4 linked regions of the Drosophila melanogaster genome follow. The protein of the gene in region 4 purifies or fractionates together with the protein of the main gene of each other region. This does not show direct contact. Each region holds a gene or a part of one and is shown on either strand. Other genes may lie near its edges. The genes, in order: ktub, frm, Nemp and RnrS.

What was found.
Region 1: the proteins of RnrS (region 4) and ktub purify together in Drosophila melanogaster (affinity purification with mass spectrometry, with the first as the bait; one large-scale study listed by BioGRID). This does not show direct contact.
Region 2: the proteins of RnrS (region 4) and frm purify together in Drosophila melanogaster (affinity purification with mass spectrometry, with the first as the bait; one large-scale study listed by BioGRID). This does not show direct contact.
Region 3: the proteins of RnrS (region 4) and Nemp purify together in Drosophila melanogaster (affinity purification with mass spectrometry, with the first as the bait; one large-scale study listed by BioGRID). This does not show direct contact.

Annotation. Positions count from the first base shown.
Region 1 is NT_033778.4:21,100,255-21,104,958, forward strand, and holds the start of ktub (king tubby), read left to right. Parts: upstream 1-1,673; 5' UTR 1,674-2,321; coding exon 2,322-2,363; intron 2,364-4,704. Other genes in the region: CG34396 (uncharacterized protein), read left to right, coding at 1-997. UniProt on the Drosophila melanogaster protein: Functions in regulating protein trafficking, retinal maintenance and lipid storage. Protects photoreceptor cells R1 to R6 against light-induced retinal degeneration by stimulating norpA-mediated endocytosis of the rhodopsin ninaE (Rh1).
Region 2 is NT_037436.4:5,548,127-5,552,933, forward strand, and holds the start of frm (farmer), read right to left. Parts: upstream 3,034-4,807; 5' UTR 2,682-3,033; coding exon 2,658-2,681; intron 1-2,657.
Region 3 is NC_004354.4:16,652,720-16,656,771, reverse strand, and holds Nemp (nuclear envelope integral membrane protein), read left to right. Parts: upstream 1-1,756; 5' UTR 1,757-1,904; coding exon 1,905-2,636; intron 2,637-2,703; coding exon 2,704-3,336; 3' UTR 3,337-3,552; downstream 3,553-4,052. Other genes in the region: r (rudimentary), read right to left, coding at 1-374; CG32573 (uncharacterized protein), read right to left, coding at 3,605-4,052. UniProt on the Drosophila melanogaster protein: Contributes to nuclear envelope stiffness in germ cells. Required for male and female fertility.
Region 4 is NT_033778.4:11,982,590-11,986,956, reverse strand, and holds RnrS (ribonucleoside diphosphate reductase small subunit), read left to right. Parts: upstream 1-1,563; 5' UTR 1,564-1,690; coding exon 1,691-1,741; intron 1,742-1,889; coding exon 1,890-2,138; intron 2,139-2,646; coding exon 2,647-3,528; 3' UTR 3,529-3,812; downstream 3,813-4,367. Other genes in the region: rho-7 (rhomboid-7), read left to right, coding at 1-85; CG34231 (uncharacterized protein), read right to left, coding at 243-496, 550-694, 794-886; GalT1 (beta1,3-galactosyltransferase 1), read left to right, coding at 4,233-4,367. UniProt on the Drosophila melanogaster protein: Provides the precursors necessary for DNA synthesis. Catalyzes the biosynthesis of deoxyribonucleotides from the corresponding ribonucleotides.

The sequences.
Region 1 (4,704 bases), 9.1 Mb from region 4:
CCTGACCATCGTCTATGCCATCATCGGCATCCCCATGTTCCTGATCGTGCTGGCCGATCTGGGCAAGTTATTCACGCGCTGCGTCAAGTTCCTGTGGGTGTATGTGCGACGGATGTACTACACGCGCTCCTGCCGCCGGATACGAAAGCAGCAGCAGATCCGGAGCGCCATGACAGGCTTCAATACGATGTACGACATGGCCATCCGCAGGCCGAGCATGTTCTTCAGCAACTCTGCGCCAGAGAACGATGAGGAGTCGCAGGCGGATGCCGAGGCCGCAAGATCGGTGGGCACCTCGCACCCGGAGACACCCACATCACCCTATCCAGAGACCTTCGAGGTGGACGACGAGTTCAATTTGCCAGTGTCGGTGGCCTCGCTGCTGCTCATTACGTACATCCTCCTAGGATCCTTCGGCTTTCTAATGATGGAGCCCAGCTGGACTCCACTGGATGCCTTCTACTACGTGTTCATCTCGATGTCCACAATTGGGTTCGGCGACCTGGTGCCCAGTAATCCCTTCTACGTAATGGTCAGCATGATCTATCTGATGTTCGGCTTGGCCCTGACCTCCATGTTCATCAATGTGGTGCAGATCAAGCTGAGCGATCACTTCAAAATGGCCAGCGCCAAAGTGGGCGCCACCATTGGCATGAACATGACCAGCGAGCTTGGTGATGAGGGCGGCTCCCAGGTGAAGACTCCCTCCGAGCTTGCCTCGGTGCACGGTTCGCGACTGGACAGGATCGAGGAGGATGGCCAGGAGGCGAATGGCAATGGCCACTCCCCGGTGCCACCACTCACCTCGATCCTGCGCGCACCGCGTCCTCTATCGCCGGCGTCCAATGGAGTGGATGCTAATGGAGTTGGAGCCGATGCTGTTGGAGCTGGGGATGTTACTCCGCCACCTCTGCTGCCCAGGCGTCAGGTTTCCGTGGATCCCCAGCCGCCGGCGGAGGGGGAGAACAAGAAGAAGAAAAAGCACAGGTTTTTCTAGAATCCCTGGGATCTTCCGCCTCCAAACAAAAAAAAAACCGACAAAGTTAACGTGTAAGAAACCTCAAAAATGACAAGGCAATTTCAATCGAATTTACCGTAACGCGAAACTCTATATTCATTTATTTGTTATTTAATTTTACTCACCATCATCGTAGCATAAGTCTAATGTTAATGAAATAAAGCGCGCGAGTTGACAACGCAAATTGATGTTTTTAATTGTTGTAAATTCCGCTTAAGGATCATAATCATAAAGTTGTATAATTTTTCAACACTCTATTATCCTGTTATCAGCGTGGTTTTTTGCTCAATCCGGAATCGAATTGCCAGATGCGTATGCTTTGTACGGGAATGCATCCCAAAATCCCAGTAACAGGGAGTCGGGGGCGCGAATCCAAATGCAGTCGCAGTCGGCAGCTGCACATCTGTCGCTCGTAGGAAATGGAAGAGGAAGCAGCCACAGGAGGCGTTGTGCGGAGAGAGAGAGAGAGAGGGAGAGAGGGAGAGACCCATTCCCATTGAGAGCGAGTTGTGGTTCTCTCTGCCTCTCTTTCGCTGACACACGACAGGATGGCATGCTTCGCACTCCTGCTTCGGCTGGCATTCGTGTGCATGTTCCGTTTCCATTCCGTTCCGCTACGAGCACTTCGCCTGAGTTGACGGCTTCTGTTGGACGCCCAGTTGTTGTTTTGGCAGCGTGCGGTTCGGTCGACGGGTTACATCGCCTTCTCTCCTCTACCAAAATAAAGAGGCGCCAAATTCAATCAATTGGACAATATCACACGCAACTCAACGGGCACGAAAGTGTTTGTCAAACAACATAGATTGTATAACATTATAAATATATGCATATTCAGGCGGTACTCGCTCAGTGGCTAAAGCAAACATTCAGTGCCAGCGATCCGGAGAATTCCGATCGATCGCGTCGGTACAAAAAAAATTGAGCGAGAACAGGAAGAGCCGGCTGTTGGCTTCAGTCTACAAATCCTCACCCTCGTGAACACCCCTTGATTTTTTTGTTGTCGCGTGTGCTGCCGTACTACACTACCACAAACTACAAAATATATACCATACCATACAAACTGACGCCAGGTGTGCTAAATTCATAGATTCTTCTTCAATTATTTTGGTGCCCCATCGGTTTTTGTTTTGCTGCATTCATTCGCATTCGAAAAGTCGCTCTTCAACGCAAATCCCAAAACAGCTGTCACTCCCGAATATTTGCCAAATGCCTCTTCATCGGATCATCTGAATCGCGCGTAGTTAAGTGAAAATCGTCAGAGGATTTTGATTGCCTTCTGAAATCTACAGCCATAACTGCAAAAATGTCCGGAATCAACAGTCGTAATCAGAAAATGGAACAGCAGGTAAACCCAACACTCCAATTTGGCAGATCTTTTCTAGATTTTACCAAACCTATAATCTTTGATAATGTAATCTCTGAAATTTGAATTTCTTTAAATGTGTCATTCATATCCATTGTGTTTGATAATCTTCATAAAGTGGACACATTAAACCAACGATCCTATATTATAACAAAACCAATCTATACATACGACAGCGAAATTTATGAACAATTTAATGGCTACTTGTATTAAACTTTTGCTTTAGCTAAGAATTCTTTAAGAACTTTTTTTCAATTGACCATGAATCAAGGCAAGTTAGCACTGGCCTTTTAACTCTTCCAGCCCGACGGTTCGTGAATGTGGTCTAGAAACAAGAAAATCCACTCCTTTCTTGGAAAACTCGGGCAGCCCATAGCAATCAGCGCCAGCAGAAAAGGGGCCATCAGCCGGCATTACACGGAATTGTTCACTTTTTGGCCTCAAAGTTGACCGCTCTAAATGTGCCACCCCTTAAAGGCAACAAAAAAAAAAGGAAAATGAAACACCCAAGTGGCTTAACGCCTTCTCCAAGTGGTTTTGTTGTGCCCGTTTGCTCGTGGCCAGGTGTTCGTCCGTTGTCCTGGCAACGGCGTCCAAATAAATCGAAACGAAGCTCCTGGTGGTGGTGCAGTTGCTGCAGTCCGATTCGATTGTCATTGGCCCTAATTATGTTGAGTGGCACGGAACCAAAAGGCACCCTACTCCACCCACTGGCTCATAAATCGAATCACTTCGATGTGGTTGAGTTGGGCTGCCAAGTGTGGGAGGTCCTGGGTCCTTCGAGTTACTTCGATTTCGTGCCGCTATGGCTTATAAAACATTGAGCAGCTATTGACAGCTTCTTCGAATGGGAGGACATTTTGAAAACATTATGCCAAGTCATTTCAGCTACAAATGAAATAGCTTGAAAGAAATCGAAAATAAGTGGAAGCCATGGGAGCGCATTTCATTTTGATTGAATTTTAATTTTAATTATAAATTCACATTGAATCATCTCACAAATTCCCATGAATTAACACATTTCGTGATTACCATTTTAAAGCAGCTTGTTTGAATAATGTTTGCTTTATCACATTCATTTTCAAATGCGAGTATAAATATGATAAATATTCACTTGCTGAGTCAAGCTAATTTTCTTTGAACGTGTTAGCATAGAACATTAATCCTTCCGAACAATCGTTTTGGGTCATTTTCTCGAGCTTAAGCCAACACAAAGTTATATCCGCCATAAAAAAGAGAATGTGGCACAAAAAAACGGAGTCAATTTGCACTTGGCATAAATCAACAGAAAGATATATGGCAGTCAACTCATAAAGTGGTCGCTAAATATACACAAAGGATTAATAAAGTCTTCGGCCTGGACGCCAGCTAACCCACAATGTAGTATCCTTTCTTTGATTGGTGTCCTGCGTCACTATGGGCAACTACCCACACACACACACACACAGATATGTCCAGGCAGACAGGATTCTATAGTATCCCCATAGGAACACAGACAGACAGCGCAACTAGAAATATACACAATACCATTCGTTGGCATTGTTTTCGTATTGCCATCACCCATGGAATACCATTAAGCGAGGCCACAAAATCGATTCCCGCCTGGTGACGAGTCCTTCAGCTTCGCGAGGAACTGAGCCGCAGGATAATGCCCAGCAATAAGTCACACAATTGTTCACTACTTCCACATATGAATATAATATTTGCTTTCCGCAAATCGCTCAAGCTTTTCCTCACGCAAGTCGTAAAAAGAAACATTTCGGCCAAAAAAAAAGGATGTGACGCACCGACTTTTTCTAATAAGTTACTTGCGTAGATTAGGGTGAACCTTTAAAGCTTGAGAAGTGATTAAAAAATATGATTTGACTAGAGTAGAGCTCAAGCAGAAAAGAGACCCGCCATCTAACTGACCATATATAACTTTCTTTTGATCAAATGAACAAAGTTTATTCGGTGTACTTCCAACTGCTGTTTTTAGCATTAAGAAAAAGGTCCACCCTAATATGTATATTAGCCTAACTTCACTTAGCTTTACGGCTTTTGCCCTTTGTTTCGAGCCTGTAATTTTCGTTCTGTTGCTTCAAATACGAGGTTCTTGACCCAACGAGAGGAAAAGCCGGCTAAAACGAAATCGAATTTACCAAACTTTTCGTCTGACAGCCAAAGTCGAGATTTAATATTTAATAAGAATACGATACCTTATTAAATGTGCATTTGGAGCTGTCATTATGAACTGATTGATTGTTTCGGTAAGAGCTGTATTATTATTTGACTTCTGTCTCAAATTACCCGGCACTTGTAGAATCAAAATAATAACCACAAC
Region 2 (4,807 bases), on a different chromosome or scaffold from region 4:
TAAGAAAACAATAAAAACAATTTTAATCAAACCGAAAATATTCGGCGGAACAAGTATAACCAGCTGTGGGCGATGGCCTTTAGGTTTGGATTTTCCAGTTAATCCAGACTTGAATTTAATTAGCGACGCATCTAGAATTCTTTGCAGAGCAGAAAAGTGCTAATGAGATCAGAACCCATCGATAGGCAAACGAATTAGCCAGTTTGATGCGAGACAATAGCTGGGAATTTGTCCAACGAATGTATAGTCGACTGTCACTGAACTTCCACTGGACTTGTTCTGATTTATTAAAGCAATTAAAAAATAAACCGTTGGGCCTGGCACGGTTGAGCATCCCGAATGACATCATATTATTTTTAAAAACTTTTACTTTCAACTCTTGGCATTTGGCTGCAGCTTAATGAATACACTTTGTATAGCGTTTTCGTTTTTACTTAAAACCAGCCCCAAAGACTTCCTCCATCATCGGCACCAAAACTATATATCTTATATCTCCATAGCTGCCGCCTTTGGCGATTGTCTCTCCTAATCGCCGACTAGCGATCGAGGGCTAATTTGCATTTCTAGATTCGTATTTTAGATACAGATTCCATATTGAAATTGGCCACAAACATATGGCAACAGAGAAGCGACATAAATTAGTGCGGCATAAAAGCCGACCTTTTGGGCCTTTAAATATCGAAAGTTAACTGGCGAGTAGGAGAAATAGTAAGAACCGATGAGCCATAAAAGTGAATGGGAGACGATGAAGTTCCATGAACTCTTACGTAATGTTGTTCTAGCTGGAAGTTGGCCCAGCCTGAATAAAAGTTCATTAACTGGTTTTTGTATCGTTGTTTCCTGGCAAAGCAGAAGTGCTCTGCCCTTCATTCGCACTTTAATTTAAATAATAACCCTTTTGGCTCTTGTAACTGTAAAGATTTAACTATTCATCGGACATGCCTAACGCTCCATTTTACAACCAAATAAATGTAATTTATTTCAATTGCCCCATTTGCCAGCAGCCAACTGTTTGTCATGCCAAACTCGACTTTGGCTACTCCATTTTATGACTCAACTCAGTAAGGCAACTACTACTGGGCGATTAAATCTCTTCAAATTGCACTACACCAAATGGCGGCAAAGAAAATTCCGCGGACTCTTTAAAATTCCGCACAAGCCGAGCTGAGAACAAATTTATAATAAAAAGAATTGTGGGCCAAGATGAGATGCGATGCCCTGCCCTGTCAACGTGGTGCCGCTGGGCATTTTCTCCCCCGACTTGGTTTGTTATTTTTTTTTTTTTACCCGTTTTTGTTTGTTGGCCGAGTACGTGTCTGGCAGAATATCTTGGCCCAAAACAGAGGCTTATGCCGCAGGCAATGGTAATAAATACCGAAGCGCCCGCAAAGCTTAACCCCAAATAACCATCGTGGATGGGGTCACTTTGGCAGGTGACAAGGGCCACAGACTGAATCCATTTTTTCTACGCCGAATGGAGATAGTATCTCGGCTCACTTAGAGCATCATTATGACACCTCTTTTGGGGAATTTCGGTGCTCATAAAATCGCAGGTACAAACAAAAAAAAAATGAGTAGCAGTCACAAGCAAAAACAATTAACAGCTTTGGATAGGCATTATCTAAGAATTTTTTGGCCATAATCAAATTAACACTCTTTTGCGATAGTATTTCCTAATGAAGCGGGTCCTTGACTCACGATTTTATTTAGCCTCAACTTTTGCACATTTAATATGTAGCTCCGTTAGGTAACAAAAAAAACAGCAAATGATAAAAAATGAATGGAAATTTGCATAATGCAGACAATGACAAAAACAGCTCTCTCCTTCTTTCTGAATCTCTTTGTTTAATACCCAGACATTTGTTATTTTCGGTAAACAACGTACTTCCCTACTGGCGCATTTTTGTCCGTTGACTAATCTTCTAACCCTGGCTAAAAACAACAAAATTGTACCGAGTATCGATTCGATTCCAAACAGCACAAAAAAATTCAAGTCAAATAAAAACTGGGCATTACTTTTGCTTCTGCGTTGTGTTGTGTGCCAAAGCAAACAGAAGTGCCTGCGTTTGCATCGCATCGTTTCGAAATTGCCGGTATTCGTATTTGTTTGCCCAGAAAAATGCCGGTTGGCTATTACTATTATTATTATTAGTATTATTACCGCACGTTTCTCCAACAAATTCGCCTTCGCGCCCGTGCTAGTGTAAATAAATTGTACAGAAAAATGGGTTTCCGAAATAGTTATAATTTGACCCGGACTTGTTAACGCTCGTTAAATGCGGAATTCCGCCTTAAATATCAGTTATGAGTTGTACAAATATTCTATATGCAGTTTGTAGCTCGTAAGCGTTTGAAATTTGGTTGCCATGCACTCTATTCGATATTCGAATGTGATCAAACACACTTAGCAGACGTTTTTATTACCATTTAATGTTTGACAATATTTTTAGCCAACTGCTAAATGTCTTTACAAAATATCAGTTGAAATAACAATCAAATCGAAGGTCATCTGAAGACATAAATTTGTTTATACACCCAAATTTAAGAAACAACAATCGTTTTTCGTTTGGCAATTGGACGTTAAACAATATGTACGTTTTTCAAAATCGAATAATTAAAAGTAATTGTTTTTTTTCTTGAGTATTCATTTAACTTACCATGCACAGAGCTGCACGCGCCATTTTGCAACGAATTTTATGTTTTTTTTTTGACACAAGAAACGCCAGTAAATATTTAGGTGTTTTGAATTTTACAATGGAATAAACTCAGTTATCCCTTTTCCAATCTTGAAAAGAAGAAAATGCTTATTTTAGTTTTATATTGAATCGCAGGCAGGCACACAGTTTCGCACTATAAGGTTGGAAATATTTGCAAATATTCCGTCTTGTTTATCCTTGCAATTAGTACAGTTCTCTTGCGGCTGCTATAGCCATTGATCGATCACAAGTGATTGGGTAGTGTTTTAGTATTTACTTTTAGGAGCCTAAACTAGAGCTCATACCGTGGTGACCGATGTGGACGAACTGAAGATGAACGCATCGAGTCTTAGCCATATAAACAGAGGCAGACGCAAAACAAAAAGGCGAAAAAACACACTCGACACAAAAAAAAGACTAAAAATCGTACTTGAGAGCAGCTCCTAACCCATACAGATACCTGGCTTAAAGTGCGTGAGTGTGTGTGTGTGTGTGTCTGAGTGTGAGTGGAACGAGTTTGCTTTTTTCGCCGGATTCGTTAATTTATTTGGCCAAGCGCCGGAGAGATGAGCTCGAACTAAGCCACGGGTCGTATACTTGATATATTGATCACTCTCCTCGGCGATTCGAACTCTCTCGCTCGGAATTCTCTAGGATCTGCTTGCGTGTCTCAAGAATTTAAGTTCACTTTCAGGTTCTTGGGGTTCATTAATATTTAGAGATTGATTTTTTTCCTCATCTTATTTATTCTCTTTTATGTTTTATTGTCTCGCGTGTTTGTTTGTTCAAAGAACGTTTTTTGTCTTTAATTGAAAATTCGAGTTTTTCGTGTTTATTTTGATTTAATTTTATCGTTAATCGAAGAGTGATATTTCAGATATACGCAGATATAGATAGATTGTCGTCTTTTTCTGGCTCCCGTCGTTGAGGGTTTATATATTTTGCTAAAAAATTATTTAGATGGTTTATTGATTTAATTAAAGCTTTGCAAAAAACCAGGGGAGCTTGGATTTATTATGCTTGACGCACGATTTCCGCATATACTAATTTTCTTCCTGTGTATGCAAGGGGCATAATTAAAATACCTCTGCAGCTATTGATCACAAATGAGCCAGAATTTAGATGTTTCTAAATCCTGATATGAACTCACACAGTAGCTAAGCAATTAATCTATGAGCTCACGAACCCAATGTCAGATAGGATTACCAATCGATTTGCCATAATTCAGACACCTTTTCATTTAGTTGCGAAACACTTCCGTTTGATGATCCGCTTAGCTAGAATGTTTCTCAATTCTTTTTTTTTATTTTGCATTCATTTCTTAAAGAGTTGCTGACATTTAAAGCACATTTTGCGGATTAACCGGACCGACTGCCAGAAAAGGGGAAACAATTTCAGCTTAATACGAAAACATTGCTTGCTCTTGAATGCAGCAATTGACACAGAAAATAATCAGCTTCTTCACTCTTGGACATTAAACAGGATGAAGTTAATGACAATGCTTAAGTCAAGGACAAAGCCCACCGAATGAATACAATGTATGAGTATTTTCGACTATAAAAACAGAAATGAGTAAGGGAAGCAAGCGATGTGGAGAAAGCAAAAGCTAAATACCCTTTAATCACAACTAAAATAATGGACATTAATTTAAATATAAATAATTAGCTAAAATTGGAATATATAAATAAATATATAAATATAAATATCTTTTATTTTTTTATACAATTTATATTGCTTAAGACTTTTTATTAAACCTTTAAGATACCCTAAGATACCCTACTTAAGAAAAGGGCAACCCAATCGAATCCAAAATTGGCTCAGCATGCAACCATCCAACGCAGCTGGGGTTCGTTTTGTAAAATATGTCTACGTGGGCTTAGTAAAAGATTAAAAAATATACATTTTAAACAATTCGCCAACGGCAATATTAAGCAAGGATGCATAATAAAACTTAATTCAATCGACTCACTAAAAAACAACGTGAACAGTCAAATACTTAAATGCATTCTCGACATTCCATTTACATTACCTGCCACGAGTGATGACCTTGACATCGCTTAGTAAGCGGTTACTATATCTTTATCCTGCTAAGCCTTCAAAATTCTCAAATC
Region 3 (4,052 bases), on a different chromosome or scaffold from region 4:
TTGTGCTGCTTCAGCCAATCGGGCAGCGTCTTCCATTTGCGCCAGTGAAATGCCTCTTCAGCCACCTCGCCCACCACCAAGGCGGTGGCCTGGACGACGCCTTTCATCCACTCGAAGTGCAGCGGCAGTCCGTGCTCGTCCTCATCCGGCGCTGGTACCCCATAGTTACCGATCAGTGGATAGGTAAGCACCAGGATCTGACCACTGTACGATCGATCCGTGAGCGCCTCCGTGTAGCCAACCATGCCCGTTTGGAAGACCACCTCGCCACCAAAACCCACTTTGGATTCATTCTCCGAGGGAACGTAGCCAAAGGAGTACCCGGGCAACACTGTGCCATCCTCCAGTGCGAGGTAACAGTCCGTAGAGGCCATATTGGACGAGTTGCTGGGGAGGATTGGAAACCATAGGGTATTCTTTAGTACCTGTCACTCGAAAACCGTCTTAAATAAACGAGCAAAGTTAATTAATTAAAAGATCATATCTCTACGAAGGCAAGTAGACACAATATTGAGTCGAAAATCTGATAACAATATTCGGCGACTCTGGGAACTTTACTTAATGAGTATATGCTATGACTATGCTATATGTTTACGCAGAGCGCGTGCATACCCTCGATTTTAAATGTAATGTAATATAATTCCACAGGTTATCTTGTTCAAAAAACACATGTGTTTATAAACACACCGTCACACGCACACAGTTTGCCGGCCCAAGAAAATATACAAAGAATCCAATAGGAAGCCGCGATAGATGAATGTATGCATGTATTTAACTGTCTGGCAACATGTTGAGCGGGGCACAACACGGTTCTGATTGGGAATGGACACTGCTTATCAAGCGTTTCAAGTTCCTGTTGTCATTTGATATTGCCATTCACGGTTTGTTTACACGATGACTAGCGGCGGAGAAGAAAGAGGAAGAGCGAGTGTGAGAGGGTGCGTTTTGTGTGTGCGTAAGCACGTGTGAGAAGTTTGGATCCAATTGGAAACCGGTTCGGTCAGCAAATGAGAATAACAATAACATTGACTTTAACTTTGAATTGGACTTTGGGCAGGAATTGAGGATTAACCAACTGAGAATCCTTAAGCTACGATGCATTAGTATCGCCATCAAGTTATCCTTTTCCCATCTGCACCCGTTACAACTACAGCTCACTTACGATTCCGTGTACTTTCAAGCGAAGCTCTCTCTTTGCTGCACTTGTAGTTGTGAACACGTTTTGGTTTCGACTTTAATTCGATTGACAACTTGATTTGTTTACTTTGCGACACCGCTTTTAGAGCTGGTTAACTTCGCACTGCTCGGATATGTTTAGTTTGAGCATTTAACTGTGTTTGCTTGCAAATTGGCTCCAATTAACGTCTGGAAAATCAAAGTCGAACAACTGAATTCACCGCCTTGGTTGAATCGGAATCTTCGTGCATTATGTGCTAAAAAATGCCACAGCAAGAGCTTAGCTCGGCGGTGTGGAACTTTACTAGAAGTAATATTGCAGGTTGGGAACTTGGCAAGAACGTTATATATTCATTTATTGTTATGAATAAGATAAGATATTTGTAATAATATTAGCAAACATGTTTAAATGGGGTGTTCTGCAAAGTATTCCAAAGGAAATAAATAATCCACAATTAAATGGTTAGTCACAAATTTGAAATCACAACAGTGTAGTCACACACACACCTATCGATACATTTTTCTTACGTTACGATATACTGCCCGTCCCGTCGTGAGTGAGGACATAAACCAAAGCGGCGTTGCTTTTTCATTCGATTCCTTAAAGTAAAGTAAACATCAAAACATCAAGCATAAGCAAGTCAGCATTTAACAAGCGAACGTCCTGCGAGAGCAACAGACTGAAAGCGCACTGATTGATAAGATTAACGCCATTGCAACCGTTCATAATGCATTCGGCTGGACTACTGATGCTAACCGTGGCTGGATATTTCACATCGGGTATTCCTGGCAATACGGCTTCCTCGGACGTCGCCTACCTGACGCCGGGCACATACATCAATTTGTCGGAGAACATCTTGGGACTGCAGACTCTGCGCACGTTCTGCTATCCGGGTAAACGGCTGACGGTGTCAAGTCTCTTCGAGACTGTGGAGTTCGTCCTGGCCATCGGGAGCGATGATTATTCCCAGTACGGTGGGAAGACGCCGGAGGAGGTGTTGCAGCACTACAAGGACAAGCAATCGCTGTTCAGCATCACCCTGTTCGCGCAGAAGCGCCAGCTGCTGCAGCTCTCGCCCTTCGAGCAGCAGTGCATCGGGATTTCCTCCCGCCAGGCGTACACCGTCATTCTGAATAGCATTCCGCTGGATCTGTGGCGTCTCGCACAGTTCGCCGTCGGCATACTGATCCTCTTCAGCGCCCGGCGGCTAGCAAAGAACAGTGTGTTCTACTATCTGGTCGGCATTGTCATCGGCATATGCGCCTCCCTGCTGGTGGTCATCTATTTGGCCGCCAAACTCTTTCCGCGACGTACCATGATGTATGGCGTCCTAATTGGCGGCTGGACCATTGGCTTCTATGTGATCAAACAGCTGGCGGACAATCTGCGTTTGATTCTGATCACCTACCGCGACCATGTGCTGGGCTATCTGGTGATCACCGGACTGATCTCGTTCCTGGTGCGTAGTCACTTGATATTCCCTTTTGATTAGATAACCCCAGCTAATTGCCTCGATTATTCTACAGATCTGCTATCGCATTGGTCCGCCCAAGAATCCTCGATCGCAAACCATCGTCATGTGGGTGCTGCAGGCCATTGGCGCCGTTATGGCTTACTTCAGCAGCTGGCACACCAGCGCCGTGATCTTCATCATGGTGCTGGTCTTTGTGGCCCACTACTTCCCCATTTCGTGGACGAACCAGATCAAGTTCATGTATCGCCGCCGTTTTCCGCTAAAGAGGCGCATGCTCACCCAGGAGGAGTACGAACAGCAGACGGCCGTGGAGACCTCGAAATCGCTGGCGGACCTGCGCAAGTACGTCAACAGTCCGGAGTGCAAGCAGTGGGCGGTGATGGGCAAACTGCGTGATCCTTTGCGCTTCGCCTCGTTCGCCAATGGAGCACCGCATCTGGACGACGAAGAGATCGAGGACCACTCGCGCACCATCGAGGAGTCCATGGATGCGGCGCCCGAGGAGGAATCAGTGGAGGAACCTGAGGAGGATAAACCAGCGGAGTTACTGCCGCTGCCCAACTCGCAGTTCCGCTATCAACAGGCCGCCCGCAACTCGGAGCCGGAGCCGGAGTCGGAGTCCGATGACAGCGAGGAGGAGGAGTTCTTCGAGCAGGAGGTGGACCTTCGGCAAGTAGTACAATAACGGACGAACAGCTCAACCACAAGGGGAACCACTGATTAGGCTTAATTGAAACCATTGACCACCACGTTCTATGCTGTACCGTTCTGTAAAATTTGTTTGTTTGGTTACCCTTTCTAATATTTGTATAATCACTTGCAGACTGAACGGAAACACACATATTAATACAAATTATATATTTAATTATTCATGACTGGCTAGGAATAAAAACACTTATACACTAATGCATAAGTTTATTTGTTGCAAACATTCCAGGGTACAGCCATCCCGCTCATTTTGGCGGAGCACAGGCGATCGGTAGCCACTGGCAAGCCTCCGATGGCGGCGTGTGCATCTGGCCGGGCAGCATCTTCACCAGACGACGATCGTCGTCGAACTTTTCGGCAGCACAGAGCGTGAGTTCGCGCTGCCGGAAGATGAGTGCGTCGCCCGCGTAGGCGATGGTCCAGGTGCTGGTCGAGGAGCTGGGACTGCCGGAGCGCAGGGCGGCCAAGCGATTGCCCTGGCTGGGATCGACGAAGTAGTACCACTTGAAGAGCTCGCTACGCAGCGTGAAGAGCGGCGTGGAGTGCTGCTCCTGGACGAAGGCGCGTGTCAGGCCCGCGGTATCGGTGAAGTTCTTCTCGCGCCAGGAGAACATCTGCCGCCCATTCAGACCGTAGTTCCACTCGTCCGTTATGGTCGTGTAGATGTACTCGCGATCGGAGCGACTCAGCAGG
Region 4 (4,367 bases):
GGCCACGTATGGGGCACAGATATGGGCAAAGCGCATTGGTCTACTGAATTACTACCATGACCTGCGCCGGACGAAGCAGAAATAGTACAGGAGGCTTGGGGATTCGCCAAGTGAACGGACGGGGAGCTGAGGCAATAGAGCGGTAGCGAGTAGCACTACGCTGTGTCAATAAGAGTGACATCGTTCTGCCTTAGAAGTTCATTGAAATCAGTTAAGTTGAATAAATCGTTGACATCCTGTACTCATGTGGTTTCCCGGCTCTTTTTTGGAACTTGTGTTTGATCCTTCTGATTTCTTCGAATACGAAAAGCTACTTCGTGCCTGCGCTGCTGAATCTTCTCCCTAAGTTCCTCAAGGGATTCTCGTTCTGGAGCGTATGATATGTGCAAGATTCCACCATAGAACTGATGAGCATCGAGCATTTTCTTGGCTCTTCTCGCCACCTCAAGGCGCTCGAACTTCACGGCAAACACATCTGTAAAAGCTTCCAGATCCACTGAAACAAAAGGAACACTATATAAAAAAGATCTTGAACAGGGATAATCATACTTTTTGAAGCCATCTCTGAAGTTACCGAAATACATGATTGCACTTTACCAAATCCTTGTAGTTTCGTCCTGAGATTAGCTTGAAGATTTATTTTAGGTACCCCAAAGATCAGCAAATGACGGGACTCACTAGCAACTGTATAAACCTACAAAGGATAAAAAACACAATAAAAGTACAATAAAACATTGCTATTACTATAAAGCTATTACTAAACTATTACTACTAAACATTACTATTTCCCCACCTTGACAGCTTTCAATTCGCGGCCCTGACGGTATTTCAATCTTGTAGTGCAGTATTCCAGACGTTTGTGGTGTTCAGAAGAAGAGGCTTCCATATTCAGGATATTAAAAACAAAACTACAACTAAACGGATTTGTTTATTATTATTTTCAAGTCCACGATTAAACGTACTTATCGATAAATATCAACAGCCAGCTGTTATGTTATTGTACTGTTATTTACATGATTCGCTGTAATGGAATTCATTCAAAGTTGTTGAATTGAGTATGTTAGCACCTGTTGCATTTCCAAATAATTCGAGATTTCCAAAAAAAAAATTAATTTTAAGTCAATGTCCTTGGAAAAAAATTTTAACTTTGTTTCACCTTGATTTTTTATCTAATTGTAGCAAGAGGACCAAATTTTTTCACTCAAAACTAATTAAGTGGCGTTTCATCAGCTGTTTTCTGGATTAGTCTAGGGTTGTCTCATTGCATGAAATATCGATGATAAAAAAATTTCAAAATTTATTTAGTATTTGAAACTATTAATATTAATATTTTTCAAGTGACAAGCTGGGAAGCTAAACATAAAATTGTGCAGTAAGGATTCGATTTATGGTTTAAGAAAAGAAAACTACCACCCCATAATTGCATTAGATTTACCCTAAATTTATAAAAAGTGAATTGACGCACTCGACAGCCCTGATTTTCCCATAGTTTTCCCATCACCAAAAATGGCGGCAAATCGAAACAGTTTGCCGCCCGGCATAAAACCCAATGTAGCTGTATTTCCCAGATCATTTGCCACACAACTTTCAAACTGTACACTTAATACACGTCGTGGTTTAAGTGAATTTTACCAGAGAATCAGAGAAGCGCCCCTACCTGCTAATAATAATCCATTCAAAAACATCTCAAATGGCGTCCAAGGAAAACATTGCTGACAACATGGAGAAGTTCTCGCTTAAGGTAATCGACACGCAAATAAAGTTCACAGCTATACATAGACGTAATACCGCGATCAGTGCGCTTGTGTTGATTTCCCTAGGGAAAAGTGCTACGCAGCGGAAAAATACTCATGCTTTAGTTGGCCTTCTTTGTTTTTCGTTGTTAACAGAGCCCGAGCAAGAAGATTCTGACGGATAGCACCAACAACGTTCGCAAGATGTCCATTGGACACGAGGCAAACGGACAGTTGGCCAAGGAGTCCTCCACCGTGAATGGCATCGGCAAGTCTGCCAATTCCCTCATGGAGAAGTCCGTAACCCCCTTCGACCCGTCGCTGGAGCCCCTTCTGCGCGAGAATCCCCGACGCTTCGTCATCTTTCCCATCCAGTACCACGACATCTGGCAGATGTACAAGAAGGTGTGTATACCATACATATAGCAAAACACTGTCCATTTGCATTGGTGGTGAAAATCTATTTTTTGGGCGGCAAAATATCAAAAGGGCGGGCATTTCGAGATAAAGCGCGCCAAAAGCCGGTCACGTACTCAACGTGGTTGATTACACGAATCAGACTTTATGATAGCTTCGTTTGGTTAAACAACCCCCTCCCACATTTCTCGACCCTCCCTTTCCGCTGATTCACTGCATCACGGTTTACTCAATGTCAACAATAGCCTTCGTTTTTGGCGGGAAATGCAGCACATAACGATCACATACTATACCATTTTATGTAGCCAATTACATTTCCCCGCCGCTTTTAATTGCTTTGTAGTAACTTTGTTTACATTTTAATTGCATTTTAATTGATAAGCTCGTTGTGCACGATGACATTTCTTGAAAACTTGTTAAAGTGGAAAATGAAAAATAATAAATTTATACAGTAATTATCTCTTTTAAAATTGTAACTTTTTTTTTTAATGTGCAGGCTGAGGCTTCTTTCTGGACTGTCGAGGAGGTGGATTTGTCCAAGGACCTTACTGATTGGCACCGCCTGAAGGACGACGAGCGCCATTTCATCTCGCACGTGCTTGCCTTCTTCGCCGCCTCCGACGGCATCGTAAACGAGAACCTGGTGGAGCGCTTCAGTCAGGAGGTGCAGATCACGGAGGCACGTTGCTTCTACGGCTTTCAGATCGCCATGGAGAACGTGCACTCGGAGATGTACAGTGTTTTGATCGACACTTACATCCGTGATCCACACCAGCGAGAGTACCTGTTTAACGCTATCGAAACGATGCCGGCTGTGAAGCGCAAGGCAGACTGGGCCCTGTCCTGGATCTCCTCCAAATCGGCCAACTTCGGGGAACGCATCATCGCCTTTGCCGCCGTGGAGGGCATCTTCTTCAGCGGCAGCTTCGCTTCCATTTTCTGGCTTAAGAAGCGAGGTCTGATGCCTGGATTGACCTTCTCCAACGAGCTTATCTCTCGCGACGAGGGCTTGCACTGCGACTTTGCCGTGCTGATGTTCCAACACCTGGTGCAGCGACCCAAGCGCGAGCGCATCATCGAGATCATCCGCGACGCGGTGGCCATTGAGCAGGAGTTCCTTACCGATGCCCTGCCCGTCAATTTGATTGGCATGAATTGCGACCTGATGTCCCAGTACATTGAGTTCGTAGCGGACCGTTTGCTCGTGGAGTTGGGCGTTGGAAAGATCTACAACACCAAAAACCCCTTTAACTTCATGGAGATGATATCGCTGGATGGAAAGACCAACTTTTTTGAGAAGAAGGTGGGGGAGTACCAGCGCATGGGAGTGGTCAGCAACCCCCTGGACAACGTGTTCACCCTGGACGCGGATTTCTAGGGCTGGCCCCGGACATCATTGTTGCAATTTAAACCTCTCAAGGGCTGGCTTCTCATCCTTTATATTTTAATCTGACGGCAATTATATGTAGTCCGTTTTAATTTTAACATAGGCTAAGAACAATCACAGACCTTCAACACATTCACCTAATCATTTACTTGGACCTCCAATTACGTTTATAATACTATCTACACACTTGACTTTTACGAGGAGCGTACCTTTTCCGAATTCATTGTACATACAACATTTTAAATAAATTTATACATAGACAATTATTAAGCACTACAAGTAAAATTGAGTTTTAATTATTCTGAAAAAAATCTTCAAAAATTACTGTTTATGCACGATTATATAATAAGAAAATCAATTTCAAAAAAATTTATAAAAAGGATTGGGAAAATTTAAGAATTTAAATAATTCGAATTTCAAATTTTCGATTTCAGTTATATATATGGTAGGTAAACTTATCGATAGTCACGGGCATTTTTACTATCAGCTGTGCTGAACAATCCCATTCGCTGTTTTTATCAATTTGGATAAAATTCTTGTTATTCAGTTATTACCATAAAAAGTATTAGATGTCAATAACAGGAGTGGGCGATTAAATCAACCCAATTCAGCTAGGCGCCCTAATAGTTGATAAAATGCGAACAGTGCATTAAATTGTAGGCGGAGGACCAGTGGCGATAAGTGAATCCAGTCACATGGACAGAAGGTGGAATCCAGAAAAAATCGAGGAGCAGAGCTCCCTCTTGGCAGCGGAATATTCCTCCAGCTCGGGAGCAGCTGCTTCCGGATCCGAGGACGAGACGGTCACCACTAGTGGAGCGCTACGCAGC